Linked DNA regions of Daphnia pulex. The protein of the gene in region 2 purifies or fractionates together with the protein of the main gene of each other region. This does not show direct contact. Links are inferred from orthologs where the notes say so. Each region holds a gene or a part of one and is shown on either strand. Other genes may lie near its edges.

Region 1 (4,320 bases), on a different chromosome or scaffold from region 2:
AGACAAAACTGCCAAATGGAATCAGACAGCAGTAAAATTCACGCCATCATGCTGGCCGCCGAAAAGCGTGAAACTAGAAACAGAGACAGTGGGTGCGACTTGAGTTCCACGGGCACCGATTCACCCTCAAGTTACCGGTGGATTAAAGATGACAATTCCACTGGATCCTATTCCTGTTCCAGCTGCGAAGCCACTGTCGATCAAACTTCCGTAGTTTACCAACAGCTGGCTGAAACGTTGGCTCAAGCTCGACTCAACAATTCCGATTCAAAAGACCCGTTAGCTATACCTTCCACTTCAATGGTCGTCAGCGAATCGTTGATTGCTCTGAATCCAATCATGCCAGCTGACTCGAAAGAAGAAGACAATATGGCAATGGAAAATCCCGACGAAAATAAAGACAACGATAGGCTGTCCAATGTCTCACAGATCATTACGTTCCCAGATCCTTCATTTAAAATGGAACCCGCAAGTCGCAAAAGTCGTGGAAGGCTTTTCCCTCAAGTGTTGGCTTCGCTGGCCCTGGCCATAGCAGCTTTGATCGAGGGGTACTCATCTGGCTATACTTCTCCTGCCCTAGCTTCTATGACACAACCCAACAGTTCTATTCCCGTAAACGACCAAGAGGTTAGTAACTAGACTAAAATCCCTAATACCAAACAAAAACTAACTGGAAATCATTCAATTCTTAGGCGTCATGGATCGGGAGCTTAATGCCGCTTAACGCTCTAATCGGTGGCATTGTCGGTGGAAGTATTGTCGAGCATTTTGGCCGGAAGACGACCATCATGGCTACCGGGCCACCATACATTTTGTGTAAGTAACGCAACAGTGTCATTGAATTCAAAATATTAATATTTGCTTTCTTCATCTAGCTTGGTTACTCATCACGTTTGCTACAAACCTGCCCATGGTCTACGCCGGACGTTCAATCCAGGGATTTTGCGTGGGCCTTACTACCTTGACGCTGCCCATCTACTTGGGTGAAACTATTCAACCGGAGGTCAGAGGATCGCTGGGCCTGTTGCCCACCACGATAGGCAACATAGGCATCTTGTTTTGCTACATTCTGGGCTCCTACATCGACTGGAAAGTATTGGCGGCCATCGGAGCAGCTCTTCCTCTACCCTTTTTAGCTTTCATGTGGTTCATTCCGGAAACACCACGTTGGTACATCTCTAAAGGCCGTTATACCGAAGCTCGCGAATCTCTACAGTGGCTCCGTGGGGGCAAAACTAACGTTCAAGACGAGTTTCTCGAAATTGAAAACAATTACAAGAATCAGAGCGTCGGTGGTGGAGCCAGAGAACTTTTGAAAATTGCCTACCTACGGCCCCTACTCATTTCACTCGGACTCATGTTCTTTCAGCAACTTTCTGGCATCAACGCGGTCATCTTTTACACCGTGTCTATTTTTGAAAAATCTGGCGGAAGTGTAGATAGCAACCTCTCTTCCATCATTATTGGGTTGGCTAACTTTATGGCTACACTGGGCTCAAATATGGTCATCGACCGAGTAGGCCGTAAAGTTTTACTCAACATATCCGGATTCTTTATGGCAATCAGCCTCGGCGCATTGGGAGTCTTCTTCATTCTGCAACACCTTGAACATGATCTCGAACACGTCGGTTGGCTTCCACTGACTACATTCATAGTCTACATCGTCGCCTTTTCCATCGGTTATGGACCTATCCCTTGGCTTATGGTACGTTATTAAAATGTGATGGCTGTTTGAAAAAAATTCAATCCTAACAAAATTTCTATTTGGCTAATTTAGATGGGAGAAATTTTCCCAAGCAAGGTTCGTGGTCACGCTGCATCTGTAGCTACAGCTTTCAACTGGGCTTGCAGCTTCGCAGTAACTAAATTCTTCAACGACCTGATAGCGACGATCGGCGCCCATGGAGCGTTCTGGTTTTTTGGTTTCTTCTGCTTTATCAGCATCTTTTTCGTTATCTTCTTCGTACCAGAGACCAAGGGACACAGTTTGGAGAGTATCGAGAAAAGTATGCTTGAAAAGAAACCGAAAAAAGATATCGAATCTACTAGGCTGTAAAGGCGACCAATTATTTTTCAACGTTGGACGTCTTAACAGTGCGGACAATGTTTTTGTACATAAGACTATTCCTTTCTTTAATCAAATGATGTCTTCAATTCCTCAAATCTCTGAATGATCTGTTCTGTTCTACCTTATTTCTTCCCAGGAAAGTTTAAAGATAGCCTTATAATTAGGAATAGAACAATTAGGATTCGTTATTTATAAATACGACTGTTTCTCCTAATACCCAGCAGACTACGAATCTTTTCTAATTGTTTTATCTTCCAAAATATTTATGTACATTACTACATCAGGCAGGGTACAGAACATTGTAAAATGGTAAACTTCTCATCAACCCCCATAACTACAACCTTGCCGACACCCCACCCCTTTAGTATTTAGTTGAAAATGTGAAAACCAGATAATTTCTGAATATTTTGTGAAATGTAAATATACCAGAACCACAAATAAATTTTAAACATTTTCCTTTAAAATAGTTCTTGTCTCTAACCCTTCTTAACAAACATATTGAAATTGGGACTTACCCATAACTTGAACTCTGCAAATGGCACAAATTTCACACTCAACGTCCCAGCTCCACATAGCAACTGCATTCCACCGTTTCAATGAGAACATCTTTTCAGTTTTGACTACACAGTCATTACCAACTGTGGTTTTTTCCACTGATTTCTCCATATCAATATCATCTGCCATTTTCTGCAGTAGAATAAAAAAACCTGTAAAAAAATAAACAAAAACATTTAACATGATTTTTAACATTGACTGACATATTGAAGTGAAAGCAATAGTTGCATTAAGGTTTGATTGGATATGATTGACAACTATACACAATAGAATGCAGGTACATAATCAAAAGATAAGAATGGGTAAAATAAGCTTACTTTTAGCTATATGAATTATGAACACAGAATTTTGGGCCAGTAAAAAATTGAAAACCACAGCAAAGGAGCTCTCAGAATTGTATGCTGAGATATTGTTTATGTCGTCTGCTAGCCCGCTCGGCGCTCGCTCAGCTGACTTATAATCACAAGTGCATATTCGGTTCAATTTTGGTTCAGCCACTGACAGGAAGGAACTCCCTTTGACTACTCTCTGATAAAAATAACATGAAGAAAAATTTTGACTTTTAATCTAGCTCTTTTAACCTTTATAAATGAATTTCAATACCATGTCTCGACGACCTTCAAGAGACGAAACTGACCAAGACCTAAGGTGGTTTCATGGGAAAATCAACAGGCAAGAGGCTGAAGCTCTACTTACTAATGGTCTGTTTAAAATAATATTTTTTTTTGTAGCCTATCTATTAAAATTGTGATCTTATTTTTCCATATTTATGCCTGCAGAAGATGACTCTGAAGGACTATTTTTGGTGAGAGAGAGCCCCACAGTTGATGGAGCTTTCATATTAAGTGTTCGTCACCAAGGAGAGCCCAGGCATTACCAAATAAATCGACATGGGGCTGATGCATTTTTTTCAATTGGTTTGCCATTGAAGCATTTTTTTACATTAATTTACATTCATTATAAATTTTTTGTCCCCTTGCAGAAGATGGATACATTGTTCATGGCCTTGATGCTCTCATTACTCTTTGTCAGAAAGAGGGCTCTTCTATTTTTGGACCACTTAACCGACCTTGCAAAAAAGATTTGCCACCTGTTGATACAAGGTGTCATGGAAGATGTAATCTATTGCATAGAGCTACCAAAGAAGGTGATTGCCAAGCATTTTTCATCTGTCTGAGATTCCCTTAGTATCAAGTATCAAGGTCACTACCAATTATTCAACAGGCAACCTAACTGTAGTATCAGAATTACTTCGAGGTGGCTCCTACAGGAGTATCGACGCTAAGAACGAAATTGGACAGACTGCAATCCATTTAGCTGCCTTTTTGGGGAATAATATGATTCTTAAACTTCTTATCCAAGGAGGAGGAAATGTCAATGTTAAGGATGATGCAGACCTCACTCCACTACATGTAATTAATAACAGTAGTTAAATCATTTATTAATACCCTTCCCTGTAGCTTATTTAATGATTAACCTCTCTTGAATTGTTTAGTATGCTTGTATACACAATCATCACGAATGCTTAAAGACTTTGCTGGAGTTCAAAGCTAGCCCTCAAATCCGACACCGTTTGACCGGAATGGTTCCCCTTCACGAGGCTGCTAGTCGAGGACATCTCGATTGTGTGAAAATCATGATGGCAATGTCTGTAACACCATTGTCACGCACTAAAGAAGATCAAACTCCCGCTGACT
Region 2 (4,520 bases):
TAAAAAGAAAAACCTGTTGATCGTCAGGTGTCCAAGTCCCGGTGGTGATGATGGATTCCTGGTTAAGGATCGTCGACCAATAGCGCTGTCCAGCCACCGAACCAACGAGAACAAATCCGTCCTGTTATACGGGGAGGTAACCGAAACATACGACGTCCATTAATACTCAGGAGCTCAGGAGCCAACGAGAGAAAGAAAAAGAAAAAAAAAGGAACTCGACCAAAAAAAGAAGGATTGGTACACATAAAAGATATTAGTGAACGAAGAGAGAGAGAAAGTCTCTAACTCTCTCTCTCTGGGGGCTTTTGTTCGAGAAGAGACCGTGATCCAATTTGCGACGCGGCTCTTTCCTTCTCCCTCTCTCTCTTATCGATCTCTCTCCCCAACCCCCATACATGTATCCAGGAGGCTTTGACGTCATGATCAATACTTACGTAAAAAGCTTCTCTGTCAACCCATCACCCGAGCCCGGTCTATATATCTACTGCCCTTGTTAGGTCCTCAACAACAACATTGAAGTAGAAAAGGGTCGTAGTCGCGACCAAGACCTCACTCTCTTATACTACGACGGCCATCCATCGTTGACTTTTATTTATTGACAATGAACTTTATTGGTTTTACGGGTCGGGTTGGGGTGTTGGTTTTGAGCTTCTCTTTTTTATTTCTGTATTTTTTTGTTTGTTTGCGTTGTGTTTCTTTACCTGGTAAGCGATGACTGCCATGCGACCGTCGTGAGACCAGGAAAAGTGGGTCACCTACATACATCAATGTATTCACGCCGGAATAGTGAATTAATGATCGTCATTGGATAGGCGAGCGAAAATAGAAGAGAGAAACGGGAGAGATTATAAGCATTGTAGTATAAATAATGAGAAGAAGAGCCCCAGAGATATGGGCGGATGAAATTACCGGAGTGTTCCGATCGTTGATGAGCTCAATGGACCATCTGCCCTCGTAACGGATCCAGACGAAGATGATGCCGGATGCGTCGCACGTGGCCAGTTTCTGATACGGCTCGTTCCATCTCACTAAACTGATCTACATAATTCAAAACGGAGTTAAACATTTCAAGTTTAACCAAATTTTACGGATCCTTCCGGCTAGTTCCGGAATTCAATCCAATTTTTTAAAAAAGAAAAACGAATAAATCCAATTAGATGATACCTGGGCACGATGTCCACGGAGGTTGTAATTCGTGCGCGGAGGCAGTGGAAGGTGCGGAGGAGCCGGCGGAAGCGGTAGACTGCCGGATATTTCATTATCCGTCGGCGGATTGAACGAGCCGAGGCCGCTGTTGACGCGATGAGGTAGCGTGCTGGTGAACGTGACTCCGACAACGCTCCGGTTGTTACCAGCCGCTAACCAGCCCTCTTGATAGTAGCTGGTTCGGTTGAGCTTCCATCCGTGTCCCTTTTTTATATTTCCATTTCGAATCGAATTGTCAACACACACACACAAATGATCATCATCGTCATCAAGAGAGAAACCCAACACAATATCCCCCTTGATTGAGGAGTTCTTCTTGGCTATGGATGCAATCCAGTCACGCTCAACCAGACACGTTCAATCAACGTCTTAATGACGAAAATCAATAACACTATTTATACATGTCTGTCAAAAAATAGCTGCAATGGCGAGAAGAAACCCCCCACACACCAAAATAAGGATCGAGCTTTTGCACATGTTATTTTTCTATATGTACGATAAAGTCATCATCATTTTTTCCCCCTCTATAATAATAATCCTAGGCCATCCCCCCCCCCCTTCTCAAATGTCCACCCCATCTTTCAATCGACCGTCCTTGTATAGAGCCATTTATATACACACACCGAGTGTGTAGTATGTGCTGGGCTCGTGTGCGCGGTCCGTTGTATTGATCGGAACTTTGCCCTCCTCTCCTCCACATAACCCGCCAACACAGTTGAAGGGAGAGAACCTACTTTTCTCTTCTTTTTTCTTCTTATTCTCCTTCTTCCACTTGAGCGTGAAACAAAAGGCGAACGAAAAAGAAGAAATAGGAAACAAAAGTTTTTTTTTCGGATGGAAAGGGGGGAGCCTTCTTTCTTTTTGTTTTTCTCGCGCCTTCGGTTCTTCTCGTGTGAAACGAAATCAACTGGGGAACCAATTAAGAAAAGTTTGCGTGAAAAATGGTACCTCTGGCTGCTCGTCAGGGACACGTCCCATCCACGAAAGTGAATTGATGACCGAATCGCAACGCAGTTGGCTGCTGGGCTCCTCGAAATGCAGGTGCATTTTCTTTTTTTCGGCCGGGCCGGATTGACTTCACCACCTGAATGGGACACACACACACCACACACACACACACTACACGAAATACACACACCGTTCTTCTAGGACTGGACGCCGGAACACTCGAAACGGAACTGAAATCCACGCAGACCCAAAATTTTAAATTTGTCCTTTTTTGTTGTTTGTTTTTTTAATATTTTACAGTTATCGCGTCACGAAAACTGACAACATGTGCAAAGATAAGAGAAAATAATAATAATAATAAAAAAAATAAGAGGATGGGATGAGAAATGCGACGAGAGAGTTGACGGGCTACGTGGACGTGTTGACCCGTCGGCAACTCTGCGCAACTACCCGCCGACGCTGTAAACCTGTTCATTTCTGTGTGCCTTTCACGGTTGAAGAGGTGCGGGAGAGGGGGGTGGGGTGGGCAAAAGAGACAGAGGGGAAAAAGGAGAAAGGGGGAGGGATCACTCTCTCTCTCTCAAGACGTCGCCGGCGTCGTCGATTCTGCGCATCCTCGGCGCGCGCTATCAAAGTGAAAAGTCGACACACGACACGAAGCGAAAATTCCGTCGCTCTCTTCCAGCGACATCTATTAAACAACACGACAACTTGACATTCGAAATTTAAAAAAGCAAAAACGGATTATTTCATTCAGTTAAAATAAAAATTAAGGCAATTTTACTTTTGAATTTAAAAAGCTGCTTGGAAGGCCTTGAGCAGCGGAAGTTTGAAAAACGGATTGCAGTGAAGTTCGAAATCGGCCATGGTCTCGTCCGAAAAATCTTGTGTTTCTGTGTCGACACATTCGACAATGCGGAATGAATCATTAAAGTTTAGATTACAACAGGCACAACTTTGTTTGTCTTACTTTCGAATTCCAAATCGACATTGTACGGCAGGATTTCATCTGACTTGTAGTTGAGCGAGATACTAACGTTGAAATTTTTGTCAGACTCGTCCGAGGCTTTGACTTGAACCATCACTTTCAATGTATCGCAACTAGCATTGACCGATCGATCGGAATTCTTTCCAAATAATTCCTGCCAGAAAAGAGTTGATTACATGTTAATATTGGCATGCAATTTCGACTGGAAACTTGCCTCGAGCTCAACGATTTGCTGCTGCCGATTGGTGAAACAATCGACCAGCTTGGATATGTCCCAAACGAGTTTCTCCAGAGGCTTCGTGTGATCCAAATCGAGCTCGTCTATCGATTCCGGTAGATAACATTTGCCGATTTCATAACCTGCAACTCGTCACGCCAAACAGAGTTTGAAACCCCAATCGAGAAATGAAATTAGATTTTAATCGCTCGAAATACCTTTCTTGGTAAATTTCACCGTCATGGCGTACGCGTCATAATACGCGGACTTGTACATGGGATGGAAATAGAACGTGCACGAATTATCGCTCAATTTATCCACCGACACCCCTGCGTGGGAAAAACAAAAACAAAATAATGATTAATGAATTACAAATTTTCCACTTGGAATTTGTGTTACTCTTAAATACAAACAAAACAACAACAAACCGGAGAATTTGGTCGCCTCCTGAATCAATTTCCAGTTCTTCACTTGACGGTCTTCCAGGTCGTGTGTCCTTTTCATTACCGTTTTCTTTTCGCGCTCGATCTCGTCCAGCTGCCTACGCAATTCTTTTACTTCTGATTGAAGCTGCTCCACCGCCGGATTTGTTACGGCTTCTTCTTCTTCATCCTCCTCCTCTTCTTCTTCTTCTTCTGCACTTCCACTTTCGACTTCTTCCGCACTTCCACTATCGACCTCTTCCTCACTTCCACTTTCGACTTCATCCTCTACAGCTTCCATAATCTTGTTGGGTTACACACTACGTCGCGTTCACAATCTGGAAAGAGAATAGAAAAAGAATATAACGTGAAAGAATCGATTCATGAGATAAGAGATCGATTTGTGAACCAGCCGCCGGCTAGAGAGGGGGGAAAAAGGCCAACACATACGGGACACGAACATCAGTCGTGACTCAAGGCCACTATAGAGACACACGTGTGAGTTGATTGTTACCAGTTGGGTTCGCCGTCTGCGCAGTTTGCCAAGTGTCTTGTTTATATATTTCCTATCCGCGCGTGCAACGGTTTGATTCGGCGTTTGCTGCCCAGTTATTGAGAGATAAAACAAGGGAAAAGATGAGTACTCCCGCACTGCACCTAGACGATCCAGTTAAACTACAAAAGGTAAGATTAAATTTTACAAGCATCTGTCAATGAAAATCTTGACTCAATTAATTCT

Evidence for each region.
Region 1: the proteins of tubby-related protein 4-like (region 2) and RING-box protein 2-like purify together in Homo sapiens (co-immunoprecipitation; 3 studies listed by BioGRID and IntAct, with this or other methods). This does not show direct contact. The link is inferred for Daphnia pulex from reciprocal best matches to the Homo sapiens genes TULP4 and RNF7.

Annotation. Positions count from the first base shown.
Region 1 is NC_060024.1:9,938,517-9,942,836, forward strand, and holds the start of RING-box protein 2-like, read right to left. Parts: upstream 3,054-4,320; 5' UTR 2,941-3,053; intron 2,776-2,940; 5' UTR 2,753-2,775; coding exon 2,584-2,752; exon of another isoform or gene 2,057-2,583; coding exon of another isoform or gene 1,778-2,056; intron 1,706-1,777; coding exon of another isoform or gene 876-1,705; intron 817-875; coding exon of another isoform or gene 693-816; intron 628-692; coding exon of another isoform or gene 1-627. Other genes in the region: facilitated trehalose transporter Tret1-2 homolog, read left to right, coding at 1-627, 693-816, 876-1,705, 1,778-2,056; tyrosine-protein kinase Shark-like, read left to right, coding at 3,213-3,324, 3,403-3,540, 3,606-3,770, 3,848-4,035, 4,119-4,320. UniProt on the Homo sapiens protein: Catalytic component of multiple cullin-5-RING E3 ubiquitin-protein ligase complexes (ECS complexes), which mediate the ubiquitination and subsequent proteasomal degradation of target proteins.
Region 2 is NC_060028.1:910,352-914,871, forward strand, and holds the start of tubby-related protein 4-like, read right to left. Parts: upstream 2,816-4,520; 5' UTR 2,254-2,815; coding exon 2,155-2,253; intron 1,411-2,154; coding exon 1,165-1,410; intron 1,039-1,164; coding exon 910-1,038; intron 756-909; coding exon 702-755; intron 122-701; coding exon 14-121; intron 1-13. Other genes in the region: uncharacterized protein LOC124208674, read right to left, coding at 2,947-3,047, 3,125-3,296, 3,357-3,502, 3,578-3,688, 3,788-4,082; hexokinase-2-like, read left to right, coding at 4,418-4,465. UniProt on the Homo sapiens protein: May be a substrate-recognition component of a SCF-like ECS (Elongin-Cullin-SOCS-box protein) E3 ubiquitin ligase complex which mediates the ubiquitination and subsequent proteasomal degradation of target proteins.